2 linked regions of the Anolis sagrei genome follow. The protein of the gene in region 1 purifies or fractionates together with the protein of each later gene. This does not show direct contact. Links are inferred from orthologs where the notes say so. Each region holds a gene or a part of one and is shown on either strand. Other genes may lie near its edges.

Region 1 (10,174 bases):
AAGCAATGTGAAGGCACGCAACAACAAAATAGCAGAAGCAAAAGAGGGAGTTCGTGGCAGATTTTGTACAAAGGTTTTACTTAGTACATTTTTGACTGCACCATTAGCCATGTTTTTTGCACATGTGACTGTTCCTCAGAGAGACCTCTAATGTTCGGGCTACATTCTTTCAACCTGGTTTGACATAGGAGACCTGTGAATAATCTTTCGTACTTTTATATAGAGGTACTAGCTGTCCCCATCACGCGTTGCTGTGGCCCAGTCTGTTGATCTGGAAAATAAAGTAATGAGAAAGTCTTGGTTTCTAATATATGCAATGTCTTTATGCTTGTGGGTAAACAGTATTTCTTGCGGTTTCTTTGTCAGTGTTGATGTGGAGAGTGTCTGGTTTGCCCACCCTGGAACATGCAACATATCATTGTCCTTCTTTAAGGGTCCCTTTCAAATCTATGATACTATATCTGTGTGTGTGTGAATTCTATCTATCTATCTATCTATCTATCTATCTATCTATCTATCGATATCTATGGCTGGATGGCTCTTTGTCAGGAGGACTTTGATTACGTTTTCTTGCCTTGCTGAAGGGAGTTGGATTGGATGGCCTTAAGTATTTTCTGTTGGTTGTGGGGGTTCTGTGTGGGAAGTTTGCCCAGATTCTGTCATTCGTTGGGTTCAGAATGCTCTTTGATTGTAGGTGAACTGTGAATCCCAGTGACCACAACTCCCAAATGTCAAGGTCTATTTCCCCCAAACTTCATCTGTGTACATATTTGGGTGTATTGAGTATTCGTGTAGAGTTTGGTCCAGATCCATCATTGTTTGAGTCCGCAGTGCTCTCTGGATATAGGTGAACTACAACTCCCAAACTCAAGGCCAATGCCCACCAAACCCTTCCAGTATTTTCTGTTGGTCATGGGAGTTCTGTGTGCCAAATTTGATTCAATTCTATCATTGATGGAGTTCAGAATGCTCTTTGATTCTAGGTGAACTATAAATCCCAGCAACTACAACTCTCAAATGACAAAATCATAATTGTTTGAGTGATGGTCACTCCTTGTGTTGTGAGACATTTTGTTGCCAAATTTGGTGTGATTTCGTTCATTGGTTCTTTTGTTTTTAAGGTACTCATTAAGCACAGTGCATTTTTATATATAGAGAAGATATAGATTAACAGCAGCTGCAGCCCACGGGTAGTGGAGATACCTCTGTGTCATTTCCACAATTGTCCCACACACTTCACTTCCCTAAGCTGGCATTTGCCATATGGAGGGAAACACTGAGGCTCATATAGGGCAGGCATGGACAAACTTTGGCCCTCCAGGTGTTTTGGACTTCAACTCTCAGAAATCCCAGCCAACTTACCAGATGTTAGGAATTGTGGGAGTTGAAGTCCAAAACACCTGACGAGGCGAAGTTTGCCCTTGCTTGAGTTAGGGGAATAGGGTCTGTTTGACTCTCCACTGTTTATATTGGGTATTGTTGATTGGATTTGCAGATCGACGTCTGGAGAACCTAGTGTTGTGTAGGAAACTGTATGTTTTGCTCTGCAGGACAAATAAAAGATTGGAAGGACAATTCTGATCAGTTCCATTTCGTTTATTGCTCATAATGCTTAGGTCATCATGATGTTCATTTTCCTTATGTTGTAGCATGCTGACCTAAGCATTATGAACAAATCTTACCAAGAATACCCTGTGACAGGTTTTACTTAGGGCTGCCAAAGCTCACAAATAATTTGAATGCACATAACTGGTGACGCAGTGGATTAAACCGCTGAGCTGCTGAGTTTGTTGACAGAAAGGTCAAAGGTTGAAATCCAGGAAGCGCCTTGAGTTTCTGCTGTCAGCCCCAGCTTCTGCCAACCTAGCAGTTCGAAAACATGCAAATGTGAGTAGATCAATAGGTACTGCTCCAGTGGGAAGGTAACGGCACTCCATGCAGTCATTCGGGCCATATGACCTTGGAGGTGTCTACAGACAACGCCGGCTCTTGGTCAGTAGTAATTTAAAGCAGTTATTTATTTATTTTGAACATTTTTACCCCACCCTTCTCAACCCCTAGGGGGACTCAGGGCGGCTTCATTGCAGCATCATAAAATACAAAATAGAAAATTTAATAATTAAAAACATGAACATTAAGAAATAAAGATTAAACAGTATACTTATGATCCATTTAACTATTGCCAGTCTGGTGGCTATTTATTTAGCCATATACTAATGATTACTCTGCTTAACTTATCCAAATTCACTTCCAAGCCATAGTCAAACATTATCAATAGTCCTTTAACCTAATTGCCCAAAGGCCTGGTCCCACAACCATGTTTTTACCTTCTTTCTAAAGGTGAGGAGGGATGACGATGACCTAATTTTCCCAGGAAGCGAATTCCACAGGCGGGAGGCCACCATCGAGAAGGCCCTGTCCCTTGTCCCTGCCATATGTGTTTGAGACAAAGGCGGGGCCGAGAGCAGGGCCTCCCCAGAAAATCTTAAGCTCTGAGGTGGGACGTTGAAGGAGATACGTTCAGACAGGTATGCTGGACCAGAGCCGTATAGAGTTTTATAGGTCAAGACCAGCACTTTGAATTGTGCTCGGAATTGGATCGGCAGCCAATGGAGCGGACACCATGGGGGGTGGGTGGGTATGCTGCTTGTATGACGCTCCGGTGAGTAATCTAGCTGCCACCCTTTGGAATAATTGCAGTTTCTGAACAGTCTTCACGTAGAGTGCGTTGCAGTAATCTATCCGGGATGTGACAAGAGCATGGACCACTGTGGCCAGATCCAACTTCCCAAGGTACGGGTGCAGCTGGCGCACAAGTTTTAACTGTGCAAAAGCGATCCCAGCCACCACCGAGACCTGGGGTTCCAGGCTCAGCGATGAGTCCAGGATCACTCCCAAGCTGCGTACCTGTCTTCATGTGTAGTGTAACCTCATCCAACACAGGCGGTAACCCTATGCCCTGTTCGGCCTTACGACTGACCAGTAGGACCTCTGTCTTGTCTGGATTCAATTTCAATTGGTTAGCTCTCATCCGGCCCGACACAGCAACCAAACACCAGTTCAAGGTTCGGACAGCCTCCTTGGCTACTAACTAGCTGTGCCACAGATAGATAAATAGAAAGATATTGTGTGGATATGTCTGCATGTACCTTGGGAAGTTTGACTTGGCCACAGTGGGCCACACTCTTGTTACATCCCAATTAGACTACTGCAATGCGCTCTACATGGGGCTGACTTTGAAGACTGCCCGGACACTTCAACTAGTCCAACAGTTGGCAGCCAGGTTGCACACCAGAGTGGCGTACAGGGAGTATACAACTCCTATTACACCAGCTCCACTGGCTGCTGATCCGCTATCGAGCACAATTCAAAGTGCTGGTTGTAACCTTTAAAGCTCTAAACGGTTCTGGCCCAGACTATATGTCCGAATGTATCTCCTGCTACGAATCATCATGAAGTTTAAGATCATCTGGAGAGGCCCTGCTCTTGATCCCACCGCCGTCGCAAATGCTATTGGTGGAGACGAGAGAGGGCCTTCTCAACAGTGGCCCCCATCTGTGGAATTTCCTCCCCAAAGACATCAGACTGGCCACCTCCCTCCTGCCTTTAGAAGGAAACTTAAGACTTGGCTGTGGGATCTTGCATTTGACCATTGAACAGCGGCTTGTATGAAGAAGACATAAGCAATTTCGAAGTGACAATGAATTGACCTGAATCCGGATTTTTATTGGCGTGTTTTAACAACTGTTTCTTTAATGTTTTGTTTTAATGAATTGGTTGATTGTTTTTATCATTATAAGGGCACAGAATGGTGTTTGCTTTGAGGCCGCCCAGGGGTGAGAAGGGTGGGGTACAAGTATATGAAATAAATAAATACATACATGTATATCTATGTATATATTTATGCTTATAAGACTTTTTACTGTTAGCCCCAGGTTCTGCCAACCTAGCAGTTTGAAAACATGCAAATGTGAGTAGAGAGGCGGCCCTAGGTAATTTTCAATGGTAAGCAAACAGTATCCCCCCCCCCCCCCAACCAATCATTGATATATATTTTCTGTTCGTCGTGGGAGTTCTGTGTACCATATTTGGTTCAGTTCCATCATTGGTGGAGTTCAGAATGCTCTTTGATTGTAGATGAACTATACATCCCAGTAACTACACTTGCCACACTTGCTCCCTTGCCTGGCCCGCTTTGGATCCAGAGGCGTGCCTGAAGACCCCGGCGTGTGCACCAAAAGTCACCTCTTCTCCTGACTTTCTCCTCAGCCATTGGGACCGAGAGAGAGAGAGAGAGAGACAGAGGTGGAGATGCCCACCTTTCCTGAAGATAGGTGCAAAAACAAAGGAGGGAGCGGAGGTAGGAGACACCTCCAGCTGGAGGGTCTCTCTCTTTCTCTCTCTCTCTTGGTCCCAATGGCTGAAGAGAAAGTCAGGAGAAGAGGTGACTTTTGGTGCGCATGCTGGGGTCTTCAGACATGCCTCTGGACCCGAAGTGGGCCAGGCGCGACGGCTCCGCCCCTTGGCCCACCCGCAGATTGGGGAAAGGAGAGGAGGCGGGTGGAGCCGGTCATGGAAGCTTTTAAGCAGAGGCTGGATGGCCATTTGTCAGGGGTGATTTGAATGCAATATTCCTGCTTCTTGGCAGGGGGTTGGACTGGATGGCCCATGAGGTCTCTTCCAACTCTTTGATTCTATGATTCTATGATTCTATGGGAGCCGGTCATGAGAGCCGGTCATGAGAGCCGGTCATGGGGAAGGGATCGAACGCAGAGAACGATTGAGCACAGGCTCTGCTCGCGCACCCGGTGGCCGGGTGGAGCAGGAACAAGAGGCGCTAGGCGAGGCTCAAGGGTCTGGCCCCTTTGGGAAGAGGATCACCCGGCAGCGAGGCAAGAAAGCCAAGGCGCCCCCCGGACTGCTAGGGCTGTTGTGAGCTGAGGGGGTGCTCCTCAAGTGGCGGTCGAGGGGCATTTACAGAGGTTCCTCTGCGCCCCTGGCAAAAAAAAGTGTTCTGCGACCGCTTACTTCGCGTAATGGACGAGCCAGCCCTGAATAGATCAATAAGTACTGCTCCAGTGCAGGCATGTAGCTGGGGGGGGGGGGGGGGGGCTTGAGGGGCTTCAGCCCCTCCCCTGAAATTCTCATGGTGGTTCACGAAAAGGCCTTACTGTTTAAACTGTTATGTTTATTCATATCATGATCTGATCACCATACTCAATATTTCCCATATGCATGGGGATATTGGGGTAACAATATAAAACGTTTGCTAGGGTAGACCCTCTTTTACGCAGACTCAGCCCCCCCCCCCCCCCCCCCCAAACAAACTCAGCCCTTGAATCGAAATCCTGGCTACGGGCCTGCTCCAGTGGGAAGGTAACAGTGCTCTATGCAGTCATGCCAGCCACATGACCTTGAAGGGTCTGCGGACAACGCCAGCTCTTCGGCTTAGAAATGGAGATGAGCACCACACCCAGAGTCGGACATGACCGGACTTCACGTCAGGGGAAAACGTTTACCTTTTATAAGACTTTCAAACCAGGAACAGAAAAAAAAATCAAATTTTGTTACATAGTGCTATAGATTGAGGTCTGGGAAGTGGAGCTGCAATCCCCACTCAGCCTTGGGAACCTACTGGGTGATCTTGGGCGAGTCACACTCTCTCAGCCTCAGAGGAAAGCAGTGGCCATACCCCATCTTAAGAAATCCTGGGGTAGGTTCGTTTGGGGGTTCCCCATGGGTGAGAAAGGGCTTGGAGTTCCCCAATGACAACAAGAACAGCAGCAGAGATTGGTGGGGGCTCTCTACTCCCCCCCCCCAAATGTACGCGTCCCCTTTAAGAGGCGGTCCCAGCCCTCCACGTGCCGCGGCTGAGTGACGGCCACACATAAACAGAGCGGCAGAAAGGAAGCCGCGCTTGACCGATAATAACCTCCTCGGCGCAGCGCCGGCGGGATCTATATAAGGCGCTCCGGGTCCGGGACTGGCCCTGGTTTGGCCCCAGCCGCGTCGGTGGGAGCCACAAAGGAAGCCGGAGGAGCCCCCGATCGAGTGGCTCCCCGATCTACTCCGGGAGGTCTTTCCAATTCCTGGCCGGAGGGAGAGAAAAATCGCCTCCCCATCAAACTGGCGAGGAGGTAATCATAACAACAACAACAACAACAGGGTGGAGGGGGGCAAACTTGGGGAGGAGAGTCAGAAGGGGGTTATTTCTTCTCACCCTCTTTGTCCCACGGGTGGATCTTTGTGTACTGAGAACAAAAAGAGACCAGAGGATGTCTGAGCGTGTGCAGAGTGCTTTCTCCTGCCTGCCCCGTCAATTGTTTGTCTTCTTAGCTCCAGGCAAGGAAATGTGGGGGAATTGAGTCGTTGGCAAGGTGTCCCAAGGCTTTTCTGACCCAATTTGGGGTCATCGGGATTCGAACCCGGGGTCAAGAGTGGCTTGAGACCCAAAGTTGGGGGGTTTGTTTGGATGGGAGTTACTGGAAAGGCGGAGGAGGGGAAAACACACTCCTTTGTCCTTTCTGGCTTGGAAAGGACAAAGAAGAAGAAGGCGGTGATGGGTTAGGAAAGGGAACGTTTGGGGAGCTGTCCCAGCCCCACAGCTCAATCCTATGGGAATCCTATAGTTCTGCATCACCTTTAGCCTTCTCTGCCCAACTCCCAGGGACAATTCCTAGGCTACAACTCCCAGGAACCCAATAGCATTGAGTCTTGGCAATGAAAAAGTGGGGTCAAACTGCCCTGGTTTTCTAGTGGAGATGGAGCAATCGCTCACCAAAGGAAAAGCACACATCCCTCAGGACTCTCGTTGTCCAGCTTCCCCCAAATGTCTCTATGGTGTTGGTGTACCCACAAGCTTCATTGACATTGAACTTTGAAGATTGGGCATGTAAAAGAAAGGGAAGAAAGACATACAGGAAGTATTGAGACACAAAGCAGAGGAAAGCTGCTTTTGTTCTTTTTCTCTCTCACACACTTTTCTTTCTCTCTCTCATACACACACATTTTCCTTCCTTCCTCTCTCTACTCCTTCCTTCCTTCCTTCCTTCCTTCCTTCCTTCCTTCCTTCCTTCCTTCCTTCCTCTGTACACAGTTTTCTTCCTTTCCTTCCTTCCTTCCTTCCTTTCTTCCTTCCTTCCTTCCTCTCTCTCTCTGTCTCTCAAAAACACTTTCCTTCCTTCCTTCCTTCCTTCCTTCCTTCCTTCCTCTCTCACACATTGTTCCCTTTCTTCCTTTCTCTCACACCTTTTCTCTCTCTCTCTCTCTCTCTCACACACACACACACAACCTTTTATTCTTTTCTTCCTTCCTTCCTTCCTTCCTTCCTTCCTTCCTTCCTTCCTTCCTCTCTCACACACTTCTCTCTCTCTCACACACATAGTTTCCTTCCTTCCTTCCTCTTTACACACTTTTCTTGCTTTTCTTCCTACCTTCTTTTCTCTCACACACTTTCTCTCTCTCTCACACACACACACACATCCCTTCCTTCCTTCCTCTCACACACTTTTCTTCCTTCCTACCTTTCTCTCACACACTTTTCTTCCTTTCTCTCTCTCTCACACACTCACTTTTCTCTCTCTCTCTCTCACACACACTTTCCTTCTTTCCTTCCTTTCTTCTTCTCTCACACATTGTTCTCTTCCTTTCCTTCCTTTCTCTCACACACTTTTCTTCCTTTCTCTCACACACTTCTCTCCCTCTCTCGCACACTCACTCACTTTTCTTCCTTCCTTCCTTCCTCTCTCACACATTCATCCTTCCTTCCTTCCGTCCGTCCTCTCTCACACACACTTTTCTTTCCTTCCTTCCTTCCTTCCTTCCTTCCTTCCTTCCTTCCTTCCTTCCTTCCTTCTGTCCTCTCTCACACACACTTTTTTCCCTTCCTTCCTTCTTTCTGTCTTTCACACACTTTTCTTTCTTTTCTTCCTTCCATCCTTTCTCTCACACACACTTTTCTTTTCTTCCCTCCTCCCTCTTTCCTTCCTTCCTCACACACTTTTTCGTCCTTCCTTCCTTCTTTCCTTCCTTCTTTCTTCCTCTCTCTCTCACACACATACACACACACACTTTTCTAATAATCACCACCACCATCATCATCACTATCATCTTTATTTGTTTCCTGCCCCATCTCCCCAAGGGGACTCAGAGTAGCTCAAAACAACCCAAACAATAAACAGTAATAAGATTAACAATCTCTTTAAAATTAGATCGGCAAAATAACAATACAAAATCAATATGGAAGTAAAAGAAGACATATTAAATATGGTATTATTATGTTATCAGTATATAAAGCATCACCCTTCCTTTCTCTCACACACTTGTCTTCCTTTCTCTCTGTCACACACTTTTCTTTCTTTCTTTCTTTCTTTCTCTTTCTCTCACAAATACTTTTTTCCTCTGCTGCTGCTGCTTTCTCGGAAAGTGCCTCCAGTTGGGGCTGCTGAGACGAGGCGCAAGATGTACTGACAGAGAAAAAGGCACAAGACAAAAAACAAACCCACACAGCTCCAAGTTGCACGAAATGACCGAGAGTAACCCCGGCTTGGAAGGAGAGCTTAATGAAAGCCAGCAGCCGGGCAAATGCCTGTATGCCTGTCTGTGGAGGTCTTTGCCAGGCTAGGGCTTTACTTTAAGCTGCATGTATGCAAGCAAAGCCACCTCTGGCTAGTCCTTGCCTAAGAAAACCCTCGGAAATCCACAGGGTCACCGTAAGGTGATTTGAAGGTGTACAAACACACATGTATGTGCAGTCAGGCTTCCATATGTGTAATGTTATACAGTGGGGTGTCCTGGAACCAAATTCCAGCAGACACCAAAGATACATTGGGTTGCTGTGAGTTTTCTGGGCTGTATGGCCATGTTCCAGAAGCATTCCCTCCTGACATTTTGCCCACATCTATGGCAGGCATTCTCAGAGGTTGTGAGGTCTGTTAGAGACTAGGTAAGTGGGGTTTATATATCTGTGGAATGTCCAGGGTGAGAGAATGAACTCTTGTCTGCTTGAGGCAAGTGTGAATGTTGCAATTGGCTGACTTGATTAGCATTGAATGGCCTTGCAGCTTCAAAGCCTGGCTGCTTCCTGTCCAGGGGAATCCTTTGTTGGGTGGTGTTAGTTGGTTTTGATTGTTTCCTGTCTGGAATTCCACTGTTTTCTGAGTGTTGTTCTTTATTTACTGTTTTGATTTTAGAGTTTTTGAATATGGCCATACAGCCTGGAAAATGTATTGTCGAAGGCTTTCATGGCCAGAATCACTGGGTTGTTGTAGGTTTTTTCGGGCTATATGGCCATGTTCTAGAGGCATTTTCTCCTGTCGTTTTGCGTGCTTCTATGGCAAGCATCCTCAGAGGTAGTGAGATCTGTTGAAACTACGAAAATGGGTTTATATATGACCAGGGTGGGACAAGCAGACAAGAGTCCTTTGTCCCACCCTGGTCATTCCACAGATATATAAATCCATTTTCCTAAATCCAACACACCTCACTACCTCTGAGGATGCTTGCCATAGATGCAGGCGAAACATCAGGAGAAAATGCCTCTAGAACATGGCCACATAGCCCGAAAAGACCTACAACAACCCAGTCTGGATAACTCACAGTAACCCAATGATTCCGGCCATGAAAGCCTTTGACAACACAAGGACAACATTGTATTCAGTGACTAAAATATCCTAAAGGCACCCAATCCTGGAACCAAATTTCAGGAAAAAACCAAGGGCCCATTGTATGTTTGTTAGGGAGAAAATAATAACATTATGTAACGAAATTTGAATTTTTTTCTGTTCCTGGTTTGAAAGTGTTATTTCCTGTTTAATTGTGTGGCACTTACTTTAAAAGTAGTTGTTATCCCCCCAAAACTTCATTTTTGTGGCTGCCACAGAATCGGTTGAATTGGTTGAGACTCAATTATGAGATATTAATTGAAAAACTACCAAAATGTGCTGCAGGATGTCCCACAAAAACAGAGTGTTTGCAGTTTAATAAACATTGTCCATGTTTTGATGATAGAACCAATTTAGGAAATGGCATTTGTAACACAGGAACAGAATTGTGTTACATATGTAAACAGTTCAATAGTGTACTTAACACATATGCATTTCAGTTACACAGTGTAATAATTACTACAACAACAGTTATTTCTATCCCACCTTTCTCCCCATAGGGAGTCAAGGCA
Region 2 (10,071 bases), on another chromosome or scaffold:
GGAAACGCAGAAGCTACTGGTAAATTTCAAAGTGAAAATAGATAAGCACAATGGTAAATTTGGGACTGGTTTTAGTGGCCAAACAGATAGACCTATAGCCTTATTTGTTTTAGCATGGGATTATAGCTGGTGATTGCCCTCATTTCCCCAGGTCACTAGGGCATCTTTGTTGAGGTCAGCAAAGCATTGGCAATGAACAGGGGCTCTCCAAAGTGCCGTCACCAGCTTTCGCAGTGGCAAAGGACAACCCAGGTGAGTTCCATTCCCTTTCCCTTGCCCCACAGAGCTCTCTCTTTTCCTTCTCCCTATTACCCCTTCCCTACATGTTTTTCCATTGCCCCTTTTTTATACACCGCTTCTCCCGCCTCCGCTTTTTGATCAATTAATTTGGTGAAAATGTAGAAGAAAGGCAATTCTCCTCAAATACCGTCTCACCTTTCTCCCCACCGTGGGGAAGAGACGCAGCTAGTTGACAATCACATCACAAGATTTATGGGGCAGAGGAAGTAACATGGCAGTGTAGCAGGCGTGCAAACTATGTACAGGATACAACCTGAAAGGGAGAGATGAGCCAATGTCAACAAATGGCACCCTGTTGTCTACTATATCATCAGGCTTTATACATATAATGGCTGGACACTAATCCCAGAAATAGGTGATATCAATTTCTTCAACATATTTAATGAGATTAAACTCCAATAAAAGTTTTTAAAAAATGAATAAATAAATAGCTATTTTTTAACTTGAGAGAACACCTCTGTAAGAATGTCTAGGTCTTCCGGCACAACTTGGAATGACCACAGTGTATGAGTTTTGGATTATGTGATTTTACAGTACTCGCTTATCCAACGTTCGCTCATCCAGCGTTCTGCCTTCCGCCCGGATCTACAGCTGTTTCAAAGCATTGCAATGTTTTGGTGCTAAATTTGTAAATACAGTAATTACTACATAACTTTACCGTATAGTGAACTTCTTTTTCTGTCAATTTGTTGTAAAACATGATGTTTTTGTGCTTAATTTGTAAAATCATAACTTCAATTGACGTTTAACAGGCCTTTCCTTAATCCCTCCTTACTATCCAACACCAGAGCCCCTGGTGGCGCAGTGGGTTAAACTCCTGAGCCAGCAGGACTGAAGACCGACAGGTCGCAGGTTTGAATCCAGGGAGAGGCGGATAAGCTCCCTCTATCAGCTCCAGCTCCTCATGCGGGGACATGAGAGAAGCCTCCCACAAGGATGATAAAAACATCAATTCATCCGGGCGTCCCCTGGGCAACGTCCTTGCAGACGGCCAATTCTCTCACACCAGAAGCGACTTGCAGTTTCTCAAGTCGCTCCTGACACAACAAAAAAAAATCCAACATTTTCGCTTATCCAACGTTCTGCTGGCCTGTTTATGTTGGATATGCGAGACTCTACTGCAATACTTATACTAGGATGTTTTTAATGCTTAAATGTTCTTTATGTCTCGTGTTTAATGGTTTTAGGCAAGCCCCCACACTGTCCTCCTTTTGGAAGGAACTGACAACCTGGATGATCCAGCAAGCTGTTGAGAACAACTAGTCCCTAGTCCCAGTCCTTAGGTTGCTAGATGGTACTCTGTTTAGCACTTCATCCACTTCCCCGGCCCTATGACACGTTGTTTGCATTAACCCTCAACCAGCCCTTTTCTACCCGATTATGTCTATTTTTGTACTCCAGGCCATTGCTATTGTTCAATCTCTCCTAATGAAGCCCGAATGAAGTTGGTTTTATATTTTTATTTTTAGTGTATTTTATCAGGTTTTTGTATTTTATGATTTTTTTGTTTGTTATTTTGTTTATTAAGTTATAGCTGGTTGTTCTATGTTGTCTAATTTGCTTTGTCTTGTAAATTGTTTGTATGGTTTTCCTTTTGGCGCTGAATGTTTGCCATATTTGTTGAAAACTGCCCTGTGTCCCTTCGGGGAGATAGTACAGTCTATAAATAAAATTATTATTATTGTTATTATTATTATTATTGACACAAAAATGCAGTATGTCACAGCAAACAAGATATATATACTAGATTTCATTATTATTATTATTATTAAATTATTTTAAATTTAAAGTTATATGTTGGTGTTTGGTTATTATGATTTTTTTTTCTGTCTACATGTATTGAGTCGCCCCCCCTCCCCCCGGATGAGAAAGGTGGCATATAAATCTATATAAATAAAAATGTAATGTTCGTTTGTGGGATTAACAGAACTCAAAAACCACTGGACGAATTGACACCAAATTTGGACACAAGACACCTAACAACCCAATGTATGTCCTTCACTCATAAAAACACAGCAGAAGGGACTTAAAAAGCCCCAAAAAGCTAAATGACAGTAAAAAAGGGAAGAAAGAGGGAGGGAAGGGGGGAAAAAAAGAAAGAAAGAAAAAGGAAGAAGGAGGGAAAGAAAGAAGGAAAGGGAGAAGGAATCATGGAAGCAAAGAGAAGGAAGGAAAGAGGTAGAGAAGGAAGAAAGGAGAGAAAGGGGGAGGGAAAGAAAAAGGGAGGAGGAAGGAAAGTTAGAGAAAGAAGGAAGGAGAGAAGGAAAGATAAAAGGGAAAGAAGGAAGAAAAGAGGGAGCGAAAGAAGGGGGGAAGATGTAGAGAAAGAGGGAGGGAAGGAAAGAAGGAAAGAGAGAAGGAAGAAAAGAGAGACAGCAGAAGAGAAAGAAAAAGGGGTAAGGAAGGAAAGAGATAGAGAAGGAAGGAAGAAGAAAAGGAAAGACAGGAAGGAAGGAAGGAAGGAAGGAAGGAAGGAAGGAAGGAAAGAGGGAGTGAAGGAAGGAGGGAAAGAAGGAGAGAAAGAGGGAAGGTTGGCCACAGCAACGTGTAGCGGGTACAGCTAGTATCTATATAAATAAAAATGTAATGTTCGTTTGTGAGATTAACAGAACTCAAAAACCACTGGACGAATTGACACCAAATTTGGACACAAGACACCTAACAACCCAATGTATGTCCTTCACTCAAAAAAATGGATTTTGTCATTTGGGAGTTGTAGTTGCAGAGATTTATAGTTCACCTACAATCAAAGAGCATTCTGAACCCTACCAACGATGGAATTGAACCAAACTTGGCACACACAACTCCTATGACTAACAGAAAATACTCAAAGGATTTGGTGGGCAGTGTCTTTTGGTTTTGGAGTTGTAGTTCACCGACATCCAGAGATCACTGTGGACTCAAACAATGATGAATCTGGACCAACCTCTACATGAATACTTAATATGTCCAAATGTGAACACTGGTAGAGTTTGGGGAAAATAGAATCTTGACATTCGGGAGTTGTAGTTGCTGGGATTTATAGTTCACCTTCGGAAGCTTTCGGAAGCTCTAGGTGCTCTTACTGCCTATTACAGGGAAAACCAGCTGATCCCTAACCCATCTAAAACACAGACATGTGCCTTTCATCTCAAGAACAGACAAGCATCCCGAGCTTTGAGGATCACCTGGGAATGAATCCCACTGGAGCTACCGGCTGTTAGGAATTGTGGGCGTTGAAGTCCAAAACACCTGGAGTGTAGAGGCTTCATCCAAGTGCATATCCCTCTCCAAAGCTGTCTTTAGACCAAACATGGGCAAATTTGGGCCCTCTGGAAGTTTTGGACTCCAACTCCCACAATTCCTAACAGCCGGTAGGAATTGCTGCCAGGGCCCTTCCAGACAGGCCCTGTATCCCAGGATCTGATTCCAGTTTTTCTGCTTTAAACCGGATTACATTAGTTCACACTGCCAGATAACAGCCGGTAGGCTGTTAGGAATTGTGGGAACCGGCTGTTAGGAATTGTGGGAGTTGGAGTCCAAAACTTCCAGAGGGCCCAAGTTTGCCCAGACTAGATTGACACTTGAAACTGCTATGTCCCAACGCGATGGAATTCTGGGATTTTGTAATTCTGGCGAACTACAAATCCCATTAAGCCATGGCAGTCAAAGAGGGGACAAACTGCATTATTTCTACAGTGTTTGGGATCCCCAAAAGGCTGCAAATCAAGGGGGAGATGGCGATCCTCCTCGGGTGTTTTTGTATTATTATTATTATTATTATTATTATTATTATTATTGTGGGGGTGGGCATAAAATACCCACTTTTGGGGGGAGATCAGCCTGTAAAGATCTCGGATCCCACAGATCGGATCCCTTCCCTTTTCCTGCTCCCGCCACCTCTGTTTACCTTTCCTCTTGTTTACCTGTTTCCTCTGCAACTTGCATCAAAAAAGTGAAAACACGGTCATCCTCGCATTCAGGAGCCAGTCGCTTCCGGGAACCCTTTGCCAGGCGTCACTTCCCTTTCCAGCCCGGGAAAAACCTCCCCTTCGTCGCCGGCGCCTCCCCGGGTTGGCGTCGCTGGCGGCCGCGCGTCTACACTGCAGAGCCAACGCAGATTAGCACCGCTTGAACGGCCCTGGCTCAGTGGATCCTGGGAGTTGTAGTTTGGCCAGGCATCAGCACTCTTTGGCAGAGGGAGGGGTGATAGTCTAAAGGCCTTTAGAAAATGACATCTCCTTGGATTCGCCATAGCAACTCAAGCGGTGTTAAACTGAATTAAGTCAACAGTGTGGATGCACCCTGGGAGTTGTAGTTTGGCCAGGCATTAGCACTCTTTGAGAGAGGAGTCTAAAGGCCTTTGGAAAACGATATCTCCTTGGATTCGCCATAGCAGTTCAAGCGGTGTCAAACTGAATTAAGACAACAGTGTGGATGCACCCTGGGAGTTGTAGTTTGCCGAGGCAACGTAACTCTTGCAGAGAGGTCTAAAGGCCTTTGGAAAACTCCAACTCGCTGGATTCTCCATAGCAGTTCAAGCGGTGTCAAACTGAATTAAGTCAATAGTGTGGATGCACCCTGGGAGTTGTAGTTTGGCGAGGTATTGGCACTCTTTGGCAGAAGGAAGGGTGATAGTCTAAAGGCCTTTGGGGAACGACATCTCCTTGGATTCGCCATAGCAGCTCCAGCGGTATCAAACTGAATTAAGTCAACAGTGTGGATGCACCCTGGGAGTTGTAGTTTGGCGGGGCATTGGCACTCTTTGGCAGAGGGAGGTCTAAAGCCCTTGGGAAAACTCCAACTCGCTGTATTCGCCATAGTAGTAGTCAAACTGAATTAAGTCAACAGTGTGGATGCACCCCCTTAAAGACCAACGACAGCGGTTTGGGCACCATTGGGATATAATGCAGTTTGGAACTGCATTTTACTGCCAGGGCCCTTCTAGACAGGCCCTGTATCCCAGGATCTGATTCCAGGTTTTCTGCTTTAACCTGGATTATATTAGTCCACACTGTCAGATAATCTTTAAAAGTGCATTATATGGCAGTATAGATGGGGTCAGAGATCACCAAAATACACAACTCCCAGGATAAGGATGCATTTAGCCATAATGGTTAAAGTGGTGTCAAGCTGCATTAAATTCTACAGTGCAGATGCATCCAAAGTGATAGCCCCTAAGGTCCTTTCTACACTGCTATATAATCCAGTTCAAAGATAATCTGGATTTTATATGGCAATGTAGAAGGAGCCTGAACTATATCCTACACGGTGTTGTTGGCTGTCTCCTATCCAAATACTAACCAGGGCTGACCCTGCTTAGCTGCCAAGATCAGAGGACATCAGAGACCTTTGTGCCATTGACCCCCACTTTCTAGGTCTCTAGGTGTTTGTTTTTTTGGACTTCAACTCCCATAAGCCCCAGCCAGCTTGGCCAAGGGCTAGGAATTCTGGGGGATGAAGTCCAAAACATTGGGAAGACCAGTGTTTGAAAAACACTGCATTTGGAGGAAGTGGCCCATGAATGCTCAGCTTCACACTGCCCTTGAGTGCATCTACATTGTGGAATTAATGCAGCTTGACACCACTTGGCTTAATGGTATGGAATCATGGGGGTTGCAGGTTATTTATTTATTTTCTGACATTTATATGCCGCCCTTCTCACCCCAAAGGGAACTCAGAGCGGCTTACAAGTTATATGTAAATACAATATATTATATTATTAGCATAGAACAATATTATTAACATACATTCCCATATTGTACTATACCAGTATACTGTAACATTATTAGTAATATAACATGTAATATTAAATATATAATAATTATAATTATAATATTAAATATATAATATTATAATATTAAATATATAATTATAATATATTAATATTATTAGTATTAGTATCAATATTATATGTTGTATACAATATATTAATTTGCCTCTATTGTACTATATATTAATTTATTGTACTATATATTAATTTATATTGTACAATATATTAATTTGCCTCTATTGTACTATACCAGTAACATTATTAGTAATATTACATGTAATATTAAATATATAATTATTATAATTATAATGTTAAATATATAAAATTATAATATTAAATATATAATTATTATAATTATAATATATTATTAATATCAGTATCAGTATTATATGTGTATACAATTTATTAATTTACCTCTATTGTACTATATATTAATTTATTGTACTATATATTAATTTATATTGTACAATATATTAATTTGCCTCTATTGTACTATACCAGTAACATTATTAGTAATATTACATGTAATATATATATATATATATATATATTATTTGTATACCGCTGTTCTCAGCCCTTAGGCGACTCACAACGGTTAACAACAAAAACAGCAAAAATTCAATGCTACCATCACACGGTATAAAAAACAGTTAACATCATAACATATTATAGAAAAGTATACAATTAACAACAGTATACAATTAACACCAATAGCCATTCACTAGCGTCTCATCACTAAAAACATGATCCAGATCCGTTATCCATTGTTCCATTCCTATGTTCATTACATTCATTGCACTGACTATTTTGCTTATAATATTAAATATATAATATTATAATATTATAATCAGAGTGGCTTACAAGTTATATGTAAATACAATATATTATATTATATTATTAGCATAGTGCAATATTAGTAACATACATTCCCATATTGTACTATACCAGTACACTGTAATATTATTAGTAATATTACATGTAATATTAAATATAGAATTATTATAATTATAATATTAAATATATAATATTATAATAATATATTATAATCTATTTTTATATATTATATATGTAATTCTTATAATTATAATATTATATATATAATAGTATAATATTATAATCAGAGCTGCTTACAAGTTATATGTAAATACAATATATTATATTATTAGCTTAGCACAATATTAGTAACATACATTCCCATATTGTACTATACCAGTACCGTGGAGGCCGTGACAGACTTTGTATTTCTAGGTGCAAAGATTACTGCAGACGCAGACTGTAGCCAGGAAATCAGAAGACGCTTACTTCTTGGGAGGAGAGCAATGTTCAGTCTCGATAAAATAGTGAAGAGTAGAGACATCAGACTGGCAACAAAGATCCGCCTACTCAAAGCCATGGTATTCCCTGTAGTAACCTACGGATGTGAGAGCTGGACCTTAGGGAAGGCTGAGCGAAGGAAGATCGATGCTTTTGAGCTGTGGTGTTGGAGGAAAGTGCTGAGAGTCCCTTGGACTGCGAGAAGATCCAACCAGTTCATCCTCCAGGAAATAAAGCCTGACTGCTCACTGGAGGGAAAGATACTAGAGACAAAGTTGAAGTACTTTGGCCACATCATGAGGAGACAGGAAAGCCTAGAGAAGACAATGATGCTGGGGAAAGTGGAAGGCAAAAGGAAGAGGGGCCGACCAAGGGCAAGATGGATGGATGGCATCCTTGAAGTGACTGGACTGACCTTGAGGGAGCTGGGGGTGGTAACGGCCGACAGGGAGATCTGGCGTAGGCTGGTCCATGAGGTCACGAAGAGTCGGAGACGACTGAACGAATGAACAACAACAACAACAACTATACCAGTATACTGTAACATTATTAGTAATAATACATGTAATATTAAATATATAATTATTATATTGTATTATTATTAGTATTAGTATTATTAGTATTAATATTATATGTGTATACAATATATTTATTTGCCTCTATGGCAAAATAAAGATCTTGTAAAACTATAACTCACACAATCCCTTCTCATTGGGCAAAAGAAGTGTCAATCTGCATTCTTTCAATAGGGTTGATCCAGTTTAATAACACAGGGGCGGGGCCTAATCGAAGCCACGCCCCTTTATTCCCCCTCCGACGAAGGAGGAAATGAAACTGCCGCCGGCAGCAGAGAGTGAGTGACGCATGCGCAGACGTGACATTGGAGTTTCGAATTTCTTTGGAGGAGTTTTAAAAGTTTCAGGTGAGTCGCTGTGATTCTTTCCTGGTTGGGGACTAACTAGGATTGAAAGAGGAGAGTGAAGACTGGTCTGTAAAATGATGGGAATCTAATTTCATCCATTCATCATCCCCAAAAGGGTGAGTTTTTTGGAGTTAGAGGGAGACATCCTTGGAAAAGTAAATGAATGGGAAAATATAGAGAGAGTAAAAAAGGGTGAAAGTAGTAATCCAGGGGATATAGCCCAGGTATGGGCAAACTTGGGCCCTCCAGGTGTTTTGGACTTCAACTCCCACAATTCCTAACAGCCGGTAGGCTGTTAGGAATTGTGGGAGTTGAAGTCCAAAACACCTGGAGGGCCCAAGTTTGCCCATACCTGGGCTATAGCCATGTATTTCTGTTTCACCTGTTTTTATCTGTATGCCATTTTTACCTGTATGTTATTTCCTGATCTTTGTAAAATGTGTTGGTTTTGTTACTGTAAAGGTTTGCCATTTTTGCGGCACAAATAACGTATTTACCTGGATTTTATTATTATGTAAATTTAAATATTTGCAACATGTTTACCTCGCCCTTCTCAACAACTGAGGGGGGGGGGGGACTCCGAGCGACTGACACTGGCAACAATTCGATGCCGCAATATCACAATATAAAACCATAAATACACAATAGATTAAAAACAATAACATTACTTATACAGTCATGTGGCCATTTGCATTATCATAACAATCATATGGTCCAGTTCAGTGTCCAAAGTGCCGTTGTGCCTGCTAGCCAAAAGCCTGGTTCTGAAACCACGATTTTAATTGTTTCCTGAAGGAAAGGAAGGAGGACGCTGATCTAATCTCGCTGGGGAGCGAATTCCACAAGTGAGGGGTCACCACCGAAAAGGCCCTGTTCCTCATCCCCACCAGACGCATTTGCGAGGCTGGTGGGACCGAGAGCAGGGCCTCCCCGGTGGATCTTAAACTATGGGGTGGAACGTAGAGGGAGATATGTTTGGACAAGTAAGCTGGGCCGGAGCCTTATAGGGCTTTATAGGCCAAGACCAACAATTTGAATTGTGCTCAGAACTTGACTGGCATATACTACCAATTACAGTGTTCTCTCACTACTTCGCAGTTCGTTTTTCACGTACTTGCTGTTTCACGGGTTTTTGCCTCCCAATTTATGAATGGTTTCTGTTGCCCAGAGCAGCGTTCTAATCCCGCCTTCTGGCAACAATGGAGTGTGGAAGGGAGTTTCACCCTTCTCTCTCTCTCTCGAGAGAGAGGCAGTCAATCAAGAGAGATTGCAACTAAAGCAGAGATAGCTAGCAAAAAAAAGAGGTGCGTGGTACTTTTAAATCTCTCCTCGCTTCTACCTCACCCTCAGAATGTGATATACATATATAGCATCTCTACTTTACGGATTTTCACTTTTCACGAGTCGTTCTGGAATGTAACACCCGCAATAAGTGAGGGAACACTGTATACCAGTGTTGCCTGGCTAATGCGTTTTTGTTGTGGCTCTTTCTGTTCTTCCTCTGTTTCCTCCATACACTTCCCCACCCCACTTTTATTTCTTTCCTTCTTCTCATCTATATAAATAAAAATGTAATGTTTGTTTGTGGGATTAACATAACTCAAAAACTACTGGACCAATTGACACTAAATTTGGACACAATCAGGCCAACGAGTGACTGTCACACATAAAAATACTGAAAAACACAGTAGAAGGGACTTAAAAAGCTAAAAATTAAAAAAAAAATTACAATGCATGCACAAATCCACATGTATACACACACACACACACATATACACAAACT

What was found. The genes of interacting proteins can lie anywhere in the genome.
Region 2: the proteins of ABCA1 (region 1) and NR1H2 purify together in Homo sapiens (affinity purification with western blotting; 3 studies listed by BioGRID and IntAct, with this or other methods). This does not show direct contact. The link is inferred for Anolis sagrei from reciprocal best matches to the Homo sapiens genes ABCA1 and NR1H2.

What each region holds. Positions count from the first base shown.
Region 1 is NC_090022.1:158,797,529-158,807,702, reverse strand, and holds the start of ABCA1 (phospholipid-transporting ATPase ABCA1), read left to right. Parts: upstream 1-5,889; 5' UTR 5,890-6,137; intron 6,138-10,174. UniProt on the Homo sapiens protein: Catalyzes the translocation of specific phospholipids from the cytoplasmic to the extracellular/lumenal leaflet of membrane coupled to the hydrolysis of ATP.
Region 2 is NC_090026.1:28,207,977-28,218,047, forward strand, and holds the start of NR1H2 (oxysterols receptor LXR-beta), read right to left. Parts: upstream 4,329-10,071; 5' UTR 4,206-4,328; intron 554-4,205; 5' UTR 436-553; intron 1-435. UniProt on the Homo sapiens protein: Nuclear receptor that exhibits a ligand-dependent transcriptional activation activity. Binds preferentially to double-stranded oligonucleotide direct repeats having the consensus half-site sequence 5'-AGGTCA-3' and 4-nt spacing (DR-4).